4 linked regions of the Saccharomyces cerevisiae S288C genome follow. The protein of the gene in region 2 purifies or fractionates together with the protein of the main gene of each other region. This does not show direct contact. Each region holds a gene or a part of one and is shown on either strand. Other genes may lie near its edges. The genes, in order: ERB1, RPF2, RPL17A and NOP15.

Region 1 (4,874 bases), on a different chromosome or scaffold from region 2:
GAGGACGAGTTTTGGACGAACGTGGGAATAATGAAACGGTACTTAACAACGTTGTGCCGCCTAAGGAAGATTTGGATGCATTATTGAAGACATTCAGGGTACAAGGGCCCGTTGGCCTTGAAGAAAATGAGAAGAAGCTCTTATTAGGATGGCTAGATGCGCATAGAAAAATGGAAAAAGGCTCTATGACTGAAGAAGACGTTCAACTGATTCAAAGTTTGGAAGAGTGGGAAATGAATGATATAGAGGGACAACATACTCATTATGATTTATTGCCAGGGGGAGATGAGTTTGGCGTAGATCAAGATGAGTTGGATGCTATGAAGGAAATGGGCTTTTAGCAATGTCATTGAAGGTAATAATCCAAACGTGCGTGTGGGCATCTATACATATAGGTTTATATATATTGTGTAAATAAAGCTTGTAGAAAGAGCCTGGTTCGAGTGTTTGATTTTTTCTTCTTGGGCGTTATTATACAATATCTACTTCAAATTATTTATCTAGGTGGTCCATAAGCGAGCCGTATTATCAGCACCGGCAGAAAACAGCCAAGCTTCCCTCGGATGCCAAATAGCATCAAGAACACCCAGACTATTGATTACTTTATGACCGGTTAGTTTCTTTAGTGGCACAATCATCGGATTTTTCATCATGTCATCATAAACAGTGGCATGGAAAACATGTATGGTACCGTCATCAGCGGCAGAGCTGAATAGAGGTAACTTTTTGTGGAAATTCACACTTCTGACGGCTTTTTCATGATATCTTAGTGTCTTGTAAGGTGTGCTAGCCAAATCCAGGTCGTGCCATAAAACTCTCTTGTCAAACGATGACGCAATTAAATTATCACCCCTTGGGTGAATATCGATTTTCGATAACCAACGGGCACCAGGCAACAGTTTCTTGACCAATATTTGTTGAGATAAATCATAAATTCTGACATATCTTTGGGAACAGACAAATAATTGAGGTTTAAAAGGATGGAACTTCGCATCCATAATAATGCCCTTCGATTTTTTGAATGGGGATTGGGTTAAATGCTTGGAAACTTGGTGAATCAAAACAGAAGTGTTACCAGAGTCAGGTTGAACAGTGACAAAGTAATCACCTTTTCTATGCCATGAAAGCTTTTTTACTGTTTTTTTGCAAGAAATAGTGATACAAATATCCTTTTCTAGTTGCTTTTGAGAAGGCTTGTTCCATTGGGCTACTTGTTTTTTTACAGCATTCTTAGCAGATTCATTCTCTCCATCTTCATCGCCATCACCATTCTCGTTCACTTCTAGGTTAGATTTTTTAACAGTCCCAAAAGTATCGTAGCCAAAACCATCTTCAATCTTAGTTTTGCCGTTATTTTCAATATCGTAGCCGAATATTGGTGGTACTATTAAATGAATGTTTTCACCAACAGCAACGGCGAGAATACCATTATTAGCATCAGGATTCCATTCAATGCATTCAATGTGGTAATCTGGGTTTTCCTCGTCATCGATTAAAGTAGTTCTATAAACTTCTCTACCAGTTAAAATTTCCCATACCCTGACTGTTCCGTCATCAGATCCTGTTGCTAGCCATAATCCAGAAGGATCAATGGATAATGTGCGTACTTTTCCTTTGTGACCAGCGTATATTGTTGAGCAACGAATAGGGAAGGGTCTTAAATCCTTGGGAGAGGGAAGTTCTGGAATTAGAGAATTAGGATCAATATTCAATTTGTTTTTACGGACACGAGGAGCTAAATATAAATCCAAAGATCTTTCAAATCTTTCCCTAATAGATTCACCGTAACCAGGGACCTTTCTTAAGGCAGAATACTTTTGAGGTATGAAGTTTCTTTCTCTTTCACTATATTCAGTATTTTCCCAGGCCTCCTTTTCTTCAGGAGACAAAAGATACTCTTCTGGTGGATTATAACTCTCTTCATTAGTTGGTGGAGGTAATTTTGGTGCCCTTAGATGCATTACATGATCATTTGTTTCCGTAGAATCACCCCATAAATCGTATTGATAGTTTTCAATTTTTTCCTTTTCTTTCATTTCCTTTAATTTTTTAGGAGGAATAATACGGCCCTCTCTGATAGCTCTTACAATTTTCATAACTCTCTTGGCTTCGTTTTTGGATGGAACAAATCTTCTTTTTGGCTCCGGAACAGCAGTTAATGGCATCACTTCTTCGTGTCTCGTGAACCAATCGATTAACGGTTCGTATGGATTTATGCTATCATCAGTTTGTTCGTTCCTTTGGATTTTGGAAATAAGTTCTAATTCCTCTTTGGTTAAGTTCAAACTTGAACCGGAATTCTTGTCCAGTAAACCAGTCCAGCCTTCAGGTAGCTCGATAGAATCCAACAGTTGATCTAAAGCAGAACCCTTGGCAGGTCTCATAATCCTTTTACCGTTGATATCGTATCCAATGTGTGGCATTTCATCGTATGCAGAAAGTGGAATATTACCAATGGTATTTTGCGTTTCGGCATCACTATCATCGCTATCATAAACTGGATTAATTTCAGGTTTGATAATTCTATCACTGCCATCTGCATATTTTGAGTAAATATTCGGATCAACGATCGTTTGCAATTTCACACCCGATAATCTGTCTGTTAAGGAAGTTGTGTCGTCTGAAAACTCAGAACTGTCATAGTCCTCTTCCCCATCACCTTCTTCTTCGGCAAGCAGTTTGTTTAATTCAGCATCGGAGTCATCATCAGAATCATCTTGGGCTTCTTTATCAGAAGATGATTCCTTTTCTTCAACGGCAGACTCGTATTCGTCATCATCCTCGTCACTCTCACTTGCTTCCGCATCGATCAAACCGTCAACGGATAAAAGCTTGTCCTCATCTTCCTCGACATCAGATTCTTCGCTAGCTGCTCTCTTTTTCGACATCTTTGCCTCGGTAGTTTTGTTGTTCTTAGCCATCATTGACCTAGTTATGTTAGAACAGATTTAATACAGTACCTTTCTTCGCTAGGATCTATATGCGAATATATCACATATGTAAATTATAAGCTCATCGCAAAACCAAAAAAAAAAAAATTTTCAATAATTTTTCACTAATCTTCAAAAACAAATGGGGTAACCCGTACAAGAGTTATTAAAACCCAAAATGACAAAATCGCGACAATTCAATCCTACTTAATTAGCAATAACATACTAGCGGTAGAGCTACTATCACATGTTGAACCTTGAATGCTCAATTCATTGTACTCAATACTGCTATCAAAAGAAAAAAAATGTATTAATTATATTCTTGTCAAAATCAATTTTACACTATAAGAGGAAAATGTTCTTCAGTCCTAGTAACATTAGTTTTCTCCCTTTGCTAGAGACTTTACATAATATCCTAGAAGGTAAAATTCGATAATACAGCAGTAAAGTCGTATATTGGTAGCAATCCTTGGTGACGCTGACTTTTTTTTTTTGTAATTTTATTGTTTAGTTCATGATAAAAAACTTCAAATCACTTTTAATCTGGTAGACAGAGAAAACAAATCGAAACGAAAATAGAGAACTACGAATAAAAAAATATAAGTGGAGAAGATCGTCACTACGCATTAAACAATATTGATCGCTCAATGCCAGTACTGCGCGTAAAAGTTTAGTAACTTAACGATTTAGGCACAATTTGAGAAAAATTTCGCCCTGCAGTAAGTATGTTATTCAGTACGATATAAAGCTGAGGTTTTATGCTGGCAACGTTCAGATTTTTTAGGTTATCAGCAATGTTAAAATATTAAATAGGATACTTTTATTGTTTGAGACCACCCTCAATGCCAGATATGTTAAACGCTTTTTTCTGGAGTGAGGTATCATAGAAAAAGGCTCGAGTACATCAAGCACTTAAAGGTTCAACACTCTACTGTTACTTCTTTAAGCTAAGCTATTCATACATAATAGTCCATCAAAGTGGCTCAAATTGCGCATACAGTGTAAAAATGCGTTCAGGGAATAACGATGTCAAGCAGCGTGTGAAAATTGGACACGTTGAATAATAAACTTCCTGGAAACCGTCGCGCGCCACTGCTGTCAGAAAATAGTAGACTACTTAATTTTCAATTCATATTTAGCCTGCTTTTTGATCTATGAAATCGCCCACTCTAAATCAGCGGTGTTTTTGCACGGTTTGTAATTTTAACTTCATTATATGTATTATTCGGTGACTTCACTAAAAAAGAAGGATCTATGCAATATTCTTATCTTCTATTTTTTTTCTTTTCGATTTTTGAAGTTAAACCTTCGTAATGAACAGATTCGAACAGTATACAGCTGATGACAATTACATGTTAAACTTTCATTGATGATAATGGCACGCACTCCACCTGTTAAAGAGGCAGAACGAAGAACCTTTGCTTATAACATAGGTCAGTGTATACTGGATAATAGTATCGAATAACCAGCATAATATTTTCTCTGGAAATACCTTTAAGGGGTTTTTAGAAGAAAAACAAATCCTAGTGCAACTTGCAAGTCATCAAAAATAATCTATCTTATCTCTATATATATATTTGTGTATTTTATATTTTATGACAAAGCTAGAAATATAAAATCAGATACCGCAATAGAAGATATTTCAAATAATAATACCAATCTCATAGCTCAAAACAGGCACTAAGGGAATACTGAAGAAAGTAATGTCTAGGAGTTAGTATAGCTTGAAGTTGCCATCGGTGTCATTTAGGTAGATCTATCTAGATTACGCGCAGCCCTCAGAAAAGCAAGTGATTTCCGAAGTTTCAACCTACCCAGACTATTCACATAAGGTTAATTTATGATTGAACAGTTCAAATAAATCTGCGCCATTCATGAAGATGATTCGATACCGCAATATGCTGCTAAAGTGCTAAAAAAATGATTTCGCCCAGGATCGAACTG
Region 2 (3,228 bases):
TTCGTTAAAACATACAAAGATTTTGAGTCGTAACCAGAACCAATTATATCAATGTCATTTCTAAGGCTAACAATATCTTCCCACTTTCTTCTCATTGAATAGCTAGAGTCCAATTTTGAGTTCACCTGAGTAATGACAACAGCATTGGGGAACATTACCAAAATGGAAGTTACCTCATTGGTATCGTTAGCATTCTCCATCTGAGGTATAAATATCTTAGGCTTAAACTTTGTGTCGGTTATTGACTCCATAAAAGTGTTCAATCTATAAGTGGAAAAAATAGTAAAACTATTAGAAGAAGAATCGAAGATAATCGTGGAAAGAATATAATATGTTTCATTGCATGAACTGTCGTAAATAGATGACAGGAAAAGTTGTGAACTTTCATCTTGTAATGGATGAGAGTCCCAAATCTTCAACGTACCATGAGCAAATGGATACAAATCCTGGAGCGACTCTAAAATGGCTTCGTAAATGTTTACATCAATCAATTTTGTTGGATGGGAATTCGTGGCAGACAACTGCCATGTTTGAAAAATTCCTTTGTTAGTAGTAATATATACTAACCTTGTCCCCTTACCGAGGATAGGTCCATTTCGTAATGAGACAACTGAACTGTTTGTATTGAAAATTTTGGACCAGATACCCAATTTGAAAGGTTTATTTAATAGTTTGCCTAACTTCAGTTGAGGTTTACCCATGGAATTTCTAATGGTTATAAAAAATATTCTGCCCATATTTGTAGAAAGCACTATACCAGCAGGTTCGCAGTTTAACATTAGGTCACACTTCTCTCCGCCCGAAGAGTTGATGGGTAATTCTAACTCGTGAGAGAATTTTTCAGATAACTTAAAGTTCAAATTATTTATGGAGTTGATATCCTCATAATATATCGCTTTGCTACCTTTGATAATGATAAGCCCTCCGGTTTCGTCCTGATCATTAGGATTCAGTGCTAATGGAGACTCATCCATTGTAGCAGGGAAAGTTAGTATGCACCTGGGCGCGACTGCTATTTCATCATTATCATCAGAACGAAATGGTACAGTTATATAGGGCGTATCCTTTTGAGTGGAGTGAATATTCCAGATGTAAACCTTCTTGTGGTCATTGACTAGTCCATATCCAATTTGCATATCGATATATCCATTCAATTCGTCATCGTTACTGAATCCGCTACTGTAGTCTGTTTGAAGGGTTTTTACTATGTATCTGTTATTTTCTGTGAAAACCTTGGAATTATCAAAGTGCGAATGTAACCTTAACTGTTGCTGCTCCATGGAAATGTCCATTAGAGAGGCCTGGCTTTCCTCTTCATAAGACAACTGCGCCAGGGATTCGTTTTCAACCACCGCAATGGGTACGCTAAGTTCCTTCCGCAAACGAAGATGTACTTTTTTTTCACTCATATGGCTATCCTAATGTACTTCACTTGAATTGGATGTAACAGTATGCTCGAGCTCCTCTAAACCTTATTCCTAAATGGTGTATGTTTTGGTTTATTCTGCTATTTTGATTCCTAAATCCTCAAATATATCGTTTTATACGATTTGAAAATTTTTCATTTTTTTGCGATGAGCTAAGGATCGAATTTTCTTATAGTGTAATGCATTATTGGAAAGTGATTTGGTATATCGATGAGTTGTATTGAAGTTATCATATCCAAAAGCGCAGGAGAACACTGGCAGAAAAAATGATTAGAACCGTAAAACCCAAGAATGCAAGAGCCAAGAGAGCTTTGGTAAAGAGGGAAGCTAAGTTGGTAGAGAATGTCAAGCAAGCGCTATTCATTCCAGGGCAAAGCTGTAACAAGAATCTGCACGATATTATGGTAGATTTGAGTGCCTTGAAGAAGCCAGATATGAAGAGGTTCAATCGTAAGAATGATATTCATCCTTTCGAAGACATGTCGCCACTAGAGTTCTTTAGTGAAAAGAATGACTGTTCATTGATGGTGCTGATGACAAGTTCCAAAAAGCGTAAAAACAACATGACCTTTATACGTACATTTGGCTACAAAATATATGATATGATTGAACTAATGGTTGCAGATAATTTCAAGTTGTTATCTGATTTTAAGAAATTAACATTTACTGTAGGGTTGAAGCCTATGTTTACATTCCAAGGTGCTGCATTTGATACACATCCCGTATACAAGCAAATTAAATCTTTGTTTTTAGATTTCTTTAGAGGCGAATCTACTGATTTACAGGATGTTGCGGGATTACAACATGTCATTTCCATGACCATTCAAGGTGACTTCCAAGATGGTGAGCCATTGCCGAACGTTCTATTCCGTGTTTACAAATTAAAAAGTTATAAAAGCGACCAAGGTGGTAAGAGATTACCACGTATTGAATTGGTGGAGATTGGGCCACGTCTAGATTTCAAAATCGGCAGAATTCATACTCCAAGTCCAGATATGGTCACTGAAGCTCACAAGAAGCCAAAACAATTAGAAATGAAGACAAAGAAGAATGTAGAATTAGATATCATGGGTGATAAATTGGGTAGAATCCATATGGGCAAACAAGATTTGGGTAAACTACAAACAAGAAAGATGAAGGGTTTGAAATCCAAATTCGACCAAGGAACTGAAGAAGGTGATGGAGAGGTAGATGAAGACTACGAAGATGAAGCGTCGTATTCGGATGATGGACAAGAATACGAAGAAGAGTTCGTCAGTGCCACTGATATTGAGCCCTCTGCTAAAAGACAGAAGAAATAAGACCCATAAACTTTGTATATTATATGATAATCTAAGAGAGGAGAATTCTATATGTATGTAGTAAGTACATTACAAATGATCTTTCTTTTTTTCCCTTATTTTTATGTATTCTGTTTTACCTATGCTTATTTGAACAGCCACAAATGTTCTATTTTTCTTTAGACAGTTCTACGTTCCTTACTAAACGTAACATGTTTCTCAACAACATTGCAATGGTAACTTTACCAGTCATTGGAACGTAAAGAGAAGCTTTTTCCTTGACATCATCGCTAAAATTTTTGGTGCATGCAAAATTGATGCAGACGGCACCTTCTTTGATGTATTCGGTGGGGAATTTGTAATTTTCACTAGGGACACCAGTGATGACCACATCTGAATCAAGAGAACACTTTTTCAACAGATCTTCAGAGTACTCCCCAAGGTCTTCCACATGATGCTTGTTTAATTTCAAACTTTCACCACGGGTGAATTTTTGAATGTTGTTAACGTCCACAGAGTAT
Region 3 (3,093 bases), 480 kb from region 2:
ATCTGCTAGGAAAATTACAGCAGTCATTCCTCAATTTCCTTACTCTAAACAATGTAAAATGAAGAGACACAGAGGCGCTATTACTGCAAGGATGTTGGCCAATCTGTTGGTCATGGCTGGCGCTGATCATGTTGTGTCTATGGACCTTCATGCTTCTCAAATGCAGGGGTTTTTCACCAAACCAGTCGATAACCTATACGGGGGCCCTAGTTTAGCGAAATGGATTAGAGAAAATGTTGAAGACTATGAAGATGCAGTAGTTGTCTCTAAGAATCCAGGTGGTACTAAAAGAGTTACAGCCCTGGCGGATTCTTTGAAGATCAACTTTGCTATGATCCATACTGATCGTCGTCGTTCTAAGGATCTGTATTCTCAAAACAAGGATTTGCAACAACTAAAGTTGAGAAAGCAATCAATGTTGAGGAAAAATAGACCGATCATCAGACAAGGTGACCATCCAAATGAGGAGGAAAACATTATTTTAAGTAACGGTATTCAAACTGCTAGGATCCGTAACGGCCACGTTATCGGTGACGATGAGGCAGACGATGATGAAGACGCTATCTTAGAATCTGACAGCGAATTGCATTCTATTGATGGCTTAGACTCGCATGGCTTGGGCGGTACATATGATGCTGTCGACTCCGAAGACGAAGAGGAAATCCCAGTTCTCTATAGGGAACAACTGATTACATTGGTCGGAAACGTCCGTGGTCGCTCTGCCATCATTCTAGATGATATGATTGATAGACCTGGGTCATTTATTAGCGCTGCTGAACATTTGGTGCAAAATTGTGGTGCCAAAAAGGTTTATGTTGTTGCTACTCACGGTATATTCACTGGAGACTGTTTGGAAGAACTTGAAAAGTCCGATGCCATTGACACAATTGTGGTCACAAATACATATCCGATTTCTGGCGAACGCATAGCTGGGTCCAAGAAATTGGTTACTATCGATGTTTCTCCAATTTTCGCAGAATGTATCCGTCGTGATCATTATGGTGAGAGTATTTCCGTTTTATTTGACTCTTTGGCAGCTCTGTAAACAGAAGAGAGTGTGCGCAATATTTTAGTTCTTAAATATGACATAGATTATCAAAAAACTTTGTATGTTTGCCAGATTTCAGTGAATCTGCAAGAGTATAAATTATAGGAATTTGGGTGAATTAAACCATTTATTATGTTTTATGTATCATGGAAAAAACAGAACCTTTATCAAATCATCTATGAAATTTTGACAGGTTAGCCATTTTCCTCATTTTATTGCTCTGCAATAGTAAATTATATAGATTTATGCAATGCTCTAGGTTCCGGCGGCTTTTCATTTAATGTGAACTCAAGACTATTATCATCCAAACACATTACAACATCCGTACATTTAGTTGGCTCCATTTTTTGAAAAAATACTTCCGAGTAAGATGCTGAAAGTAATCAAATTCCGTGAAAAAGGAACCGATTTGGTAAGGGCGGACCTGCCGGAAGAAAATCGCTCCCGCGTGTCTACTGGACTTTGCTTCTTTGCCAGGCGGGAGAATGAAGCCCACCGGCCTAGCTCTATGGGCGCAGACAGGGATGGTCTCGATTTGCTTTCTCACTGCAATGGAAATTTCTAACATTAGAGCTTCAACGGCTAGCATAAAACAACTACTAACGTTTTCAGTGCTATATTCGAAAGAGCAAACAAAGAGTCCTCAAGAACTACTAATAGATTAAAATGGCTAGATACGGTGCTACTTCCACTAACCCTGCTAAATCCGCTTCTGCTCGTGGTTCCTACTTGCGTGTTTCTTTCAAGAACACCAGAGAAACTGCTCAAGCTATTAACGGTTGGGAATTGACCAAGGCTCAAAAATACTTGGAACAAGTTTTGGACCACCAAAGAGCTATTCCTTTCAGAAGATTTAACTCTTCCATCGGTAGAACTGCTCAAGGTAAGGAATTTGGTGTCACCAAGGCTAGATGGCCAGCTAAGTCTGTTAAGTTCGTTCAAGGTTTGTTGCAAAACGCCGCTGCCAACGCTGAAGTATGTCAAGAATATTATATGTTTAGTACCAGATGAAACAAGAATGAGTTGAAATTCAAAATGCGCGGAAAATCCATTATGATCAAGGGAAATTGAATATGATAAATGAATTATTCAGAAAGTCACAATTACCAGATTGGAATGAACTGTCAAGCTGAAAAGCAACTAAGGATTACCATTACGTGTTTATGATTTTGTTAGAAAAATATTGAAAACTTGATATTTCTTTCCGCTAGTTTCATCTTTTTCAATTACTTAACCGGATCAAAATTTTTTTTACTAACAACATAACTATTTTTATTACAGGCTAAAGGTTTGGATGCTACTAAATTGTACGTTTCTCATATCCAAGTTAACCAAGCTCCAAAGCAAAGAAGAAGAACTTACAGAGCTCACGGTAGAATCAACAAGTACGAATCTTCTCCATCCCACATTGAATTAGTTGTCACTGAAAAGGAAGAAGCTGTCGCCAAGGCTGCTGAAAAGAAGGTCGTTAGATTGACTTCTAGACAAAGAGGTAGAATCGCCGCCCAAAAGCGTATTGCTGCTTAAATAGAAGATGAAAAATAATGATAATATAATTCTCTGTTAATTTTAATCTTTTATCTATGTAATTTTATCTCCCCGTCATATCACATAACTCTAAAATAAGTTTTTTATTAATATTATTATATTATATCGGATAATCCTACGTTCAAAGTATTGAACATAGTTTTATAATGAACAAAGGTATAAGAAATGCTCATAAACTGAAAAAATCCCGTAGATAAGATAATAAGAAATGCTACTGTCTATATCAATATGTCAATCGTTACTCATTCCCTCTCTAGTACGGAACGTGTGCGTTCTTCATACCGAGCTATTAGAATTTAGTGAATAAAGGCATCTATCGATTTATGCCATGAACTGAACCAACGCCTGCAGCTACTTTTTCTGCTCCCCCAAGTCCTCCGTTGAGATTTGAAGAAGACTTTGCCGATTGTACTATACCAACCTCAGGTGTCATGTAGCCGCTAATATTAATCACATACATGCTCATCATGAATACGAGTCCGTGTAAACCGATACAG
Region 4 (2,912 bases), on a different chromosome or scaffold from region 2:
TCACGGAGAGAGTTTTTATCCTTTTGCTTATTGTCGGAGCCATCTCGCTTTCTTTGTGATGCCGTAAATAGGTGGTCACAAGTAATGTATCTATCCCTCTAGCTTTCGAAGGCTACTTGTTCAGTTGCACATAGAAGACATCTAAACTCTGGAAAAATAATCAATGGTGCCGAAGCGTCATCACGTCATCCGAATAGCGGATATTTCGAAATTTATAAAAAAGCTTTGAAAACAATCCTAGAAGTAAAGCAGTTTCGTTCAATATGTAAGACGTTCAATTAGTTGTACAAGAGGTTAAAATAGTGCTATAAATTATGGCTATCGAAAATATATACATTGCCAGACATGGTTACAGGTCAAACTGGCTACCAAAGGGACCATATCCACCACCGCCCACCGGTATTGATAACGATGTCCCGCTTTCGGAACACGGTGTTGAACAGGCACATGAACTGGCGAACTATATCTCTAAATTAGATGTCAAACCAGAAATGATTTTCTCCTCCCCATTTTACCGCTGTTTAGAAACTAGTAAACCCACAGTGGAGGCTTTAAAGATTCCATTATATGTCGATCGTGGTGTAGGAGAATGGTATAAGCCTGATAGACCCATTATCCCGGAGCCTGCTACTCATGAAGTTATGAGTAAGTTTTTTCCAAGCATGATCTCTCCAGACTGGGAACCTAGTATTATTCCTAGTAATAAGGGTGAAACAGAAGAAGATATTTTTGAGAGGTGCCATAAATTCTGGCCTGTCTTTATTGACAGAGTGGAGAGAAAATTTCCAAATGTAAAGACCATTATGATAGTTACCCACGCAGCCACTAAATCCGCTCTTGGTATGAACTTGTTGAAATTCTCCAGTGCCAAAGAGCCCATTGATAACAAAGGCACCTTTATAAGAAATGGAAGTTGTGCTATTGATAAATTTGAGCTGGTGAAAGGAGAAAATGAAAGTATACCATTTGAAGAGAGAGAGTGGAAACTTACAATGAATGGCAACACCTCCTTTTTAACTAATGGGGAAGAAATGAATTGGACGTTTATGAATGCCTTTGAGGCTGGTTCAGACGCTGATATCAAAGCGAGAAGAGCAGCTGAGAGCGGAAAACTAAAAATGGAGTGAAAACTAAAGTGAGTCTTGAATTCTGTACTTCTCATTATACACTTCTGCATTTGATTTTTATTTCATGATGAAGCTGTGTGAATATATATATATATATACATATGTCAAAGTCTAGTGTAAATTGATAGAATTAACAGTATCTTTTAATATCCCTAAACTTCAAAATTCAAGGTTCAACGATTGAAAGATGAGCTGTCTAGGTAGTAGTACCGAAACCTTTCGAGTTTTGTGCTATCTCTGAAAACTCATTATCCTGCTAAACCCTTTCTAATGTGCATAGCAGCTATTGCAACTTTAGCATCCTCATTACAGACGGCATAGCAGAGACGTATGCGGTTACCCCCCAGATTTTGCCTGTTTCTTTTCACTATGAAAAATTTTCCGCCATAAGAAAAAATGAAGTAGTGCATCGCATCTCATCTCATCACTTAATTTGAAGACGATTACCATTACTTTTAACTTCATTAACTACCTTTTCTATAGGGTTAAGTTCTAGAGATAAAATAACAGAGGAAAGAGATCGATATGGTAAAGTCAACAAGCAAAACTTCCACCAAGGAAACAGTAACCAAACAACCCACCGAAGAAAAACCTATACAGGAGAAAGAAGAGTTGGCTCTAGAAACATCGTCTAGCAGTTCAGATGAAGAAGACGAAAAAGATGAAGATGAAATTGAAGGTTTAGCCGCTTCTGATGATGAGCAGAGCGGTACACACAAGATTAAAAGATTGAATCCTAAGAAGCAGGCTAATGAAAAAAAGTCGAAAGATAAAAAGACACTTGAAGAGTATTCTGGGATTATTTATGTGAGTAGACTGCCACATGGGTTCCACGAAAAGGAATTAAGTAAATATTTTGCTCAATTCGGTGATTTAAAAGAAGTGAGATTAGCACGTAATAAGAAAACTGGAAATTCCAGACATTATGGCTTCTTAGAATTCGTTAATAAAGAGGATGCAATGATCGCCCAAGAATCTATGAACAATTACTTGTTGATGGGTCATCTACTACAAGTGCGTGTATTACCAAAAGGAGCTAAAATCGAGAAATTGTACAAATACAAGAAGAGAGTTCTAGTAGAGAAAGGTATCACCAAACCAGTAAAACAGCTAAAGGATAACATGAAGCAAAAACATGAAGAAAGGATAAAAAAATTAGCCAAGTCAGGTATCGAATTCAAATGGTGACTTGTCACTTCTCATCCACCCTGAGAAAAGGGTTTTGTAAGATAGAATAGGAGATATAGCAAACTTGGGAAACCATTTATATCATTAATTCCAGCAATATAGTTCCGTTTGTCCGTATTCAATGATATTTACATGATTGCTTTTACGAAGATTCAACGACCAAAATCACGGAGCGGGTAATAGCCTGGAGTTTCCGGATGAAAAATTTAACGGCCCAGAAAAAGAACAATAGCTGCAAAAAAGAAAGCTATACGAGATCGAGATAGTGAGAGAGGTTAGCATAACGAGAAAATTTTTGTCGCATTCGTGGCCAAAAAGCGATATTTGAGAAGCATTGTTATTATATCAATAAATAACAAATATATATATTGTCCTTTTTCCAATAACTATATAAAGAACAAGAAGCTTTTGAAACTTTCTCAAAAATTTTCGTTCAGGCTTCCTCGTTAATATTTAAATTCGATTTTCATTTTCTTCATAGTAAAGAAAATCAATCAACTACAACATAAAATATCAAACAATCATGCCTAAAGTTTACAGTTACCAAGAAGTTGCCGAACACAATGGCCCAGAAAATTTCTGGATTATCATCGATGA

What was found.
Region 1: the proteins of RPF2 (region 2) and ERB1 purify together in Saccharomyces cerevisiae (affinity purification with mass spectrometry; 7 studies listed by BioGRID, with this or other methods). This does not show direct contact.
Region 3: the proteins of RPF2 (region 2) and RPL17A purify together in Saccharomyces cerevisiae (affinity purification with western blotting; 5 studies listed by BioGRID, with this or other methods). This does not show direct contact.
Region 4: the proteins of RPF2 (region 2) and NOP15 purify together in Saccharomyces cerevisiae (affinity purification with mass spectrometry; 7 studies listed by BioGRID, with this or other methods). This does not show direct contact.

Annotation. Positions count from the first base shown.
Region 1 is NC_001145.3:367,594-372,467, forward strand, and holds ERB1 (ribosome biogenesis protein ERB1), read right to left. Parts: upstream 2,925-4,874; coding exon 501-2,924; downstream 1-500. Other genes in the region: CSM3 (Csm3p), read left to right, coding at 1-341.
Region 2 is NC_001143.9:591,006-594,233, reverse strand, and holds RPF2 (rRNA-binding ribosome biosynthesis protein RPF2), read left to right. Parts: upstream 1-1,693; coding exon 1,694-2,728; downstream 2,729-3,228. Other genes in the region: NUP133 (Nup133p), read right to left, coding at 1-1,409; MTD1 (methylenetetrahydrofolate dehydrogenase (NAD(+))), read right to left, coding at 2,877-3,228. UniProt on the Saccharomyces cerevisiae protein: Required for biogenesis of the 60S ribosomal subunit.
Region 3 is NC_001143.9:107,555-110,647, forward strand, and holds RPL17A (60S ribosomal protein uL22 RPL17A), read left to right. Parts: upstream 1-1,714; coding exon 1,715-2,023; intron 2,024-2,329; coding exon 2,330-2,575; downstream 2,576-3,093. Other genes in the region: ribose phosphate diphosphokinase subunit PRS1, read left to right, coding at 1-1,045; CCAAT displacement transcription factor COY1, read right to left, coding at 2,910-3,093. UniProt on the Saccharomyces cerevisiae protein: Component of the ribosome, a large ribonucleoprotein complex responsible for the synthesis of proteins in the cell.
Region 4 is NC_001146.8:417,229-420,140, reverse strand, and holds NOP15 (rRNA-binding ribosome biosynthesis protein NOP15), read left to right. Parts: upstream 1-1,652; coding exon 1,653-2,315; downstream 2,316-2,912. Other genes in the region: YEATS domain-containing protein YAF9, read right to left, coding at 1-43; YNL108C (uncharacterized protein), read left to right, coding at 315-1,127; CYB5 (Cyb5p), read left to right, coding at 2,839-2,912. UniProt on the Saccharomyces cerevisiae protein: Involved in the biogenesis of the 60S ribosomal subunit. Required for pre-rRNA processing and cytokinesis. Associates with the precursors of the 25S and 5.8S rRNAs.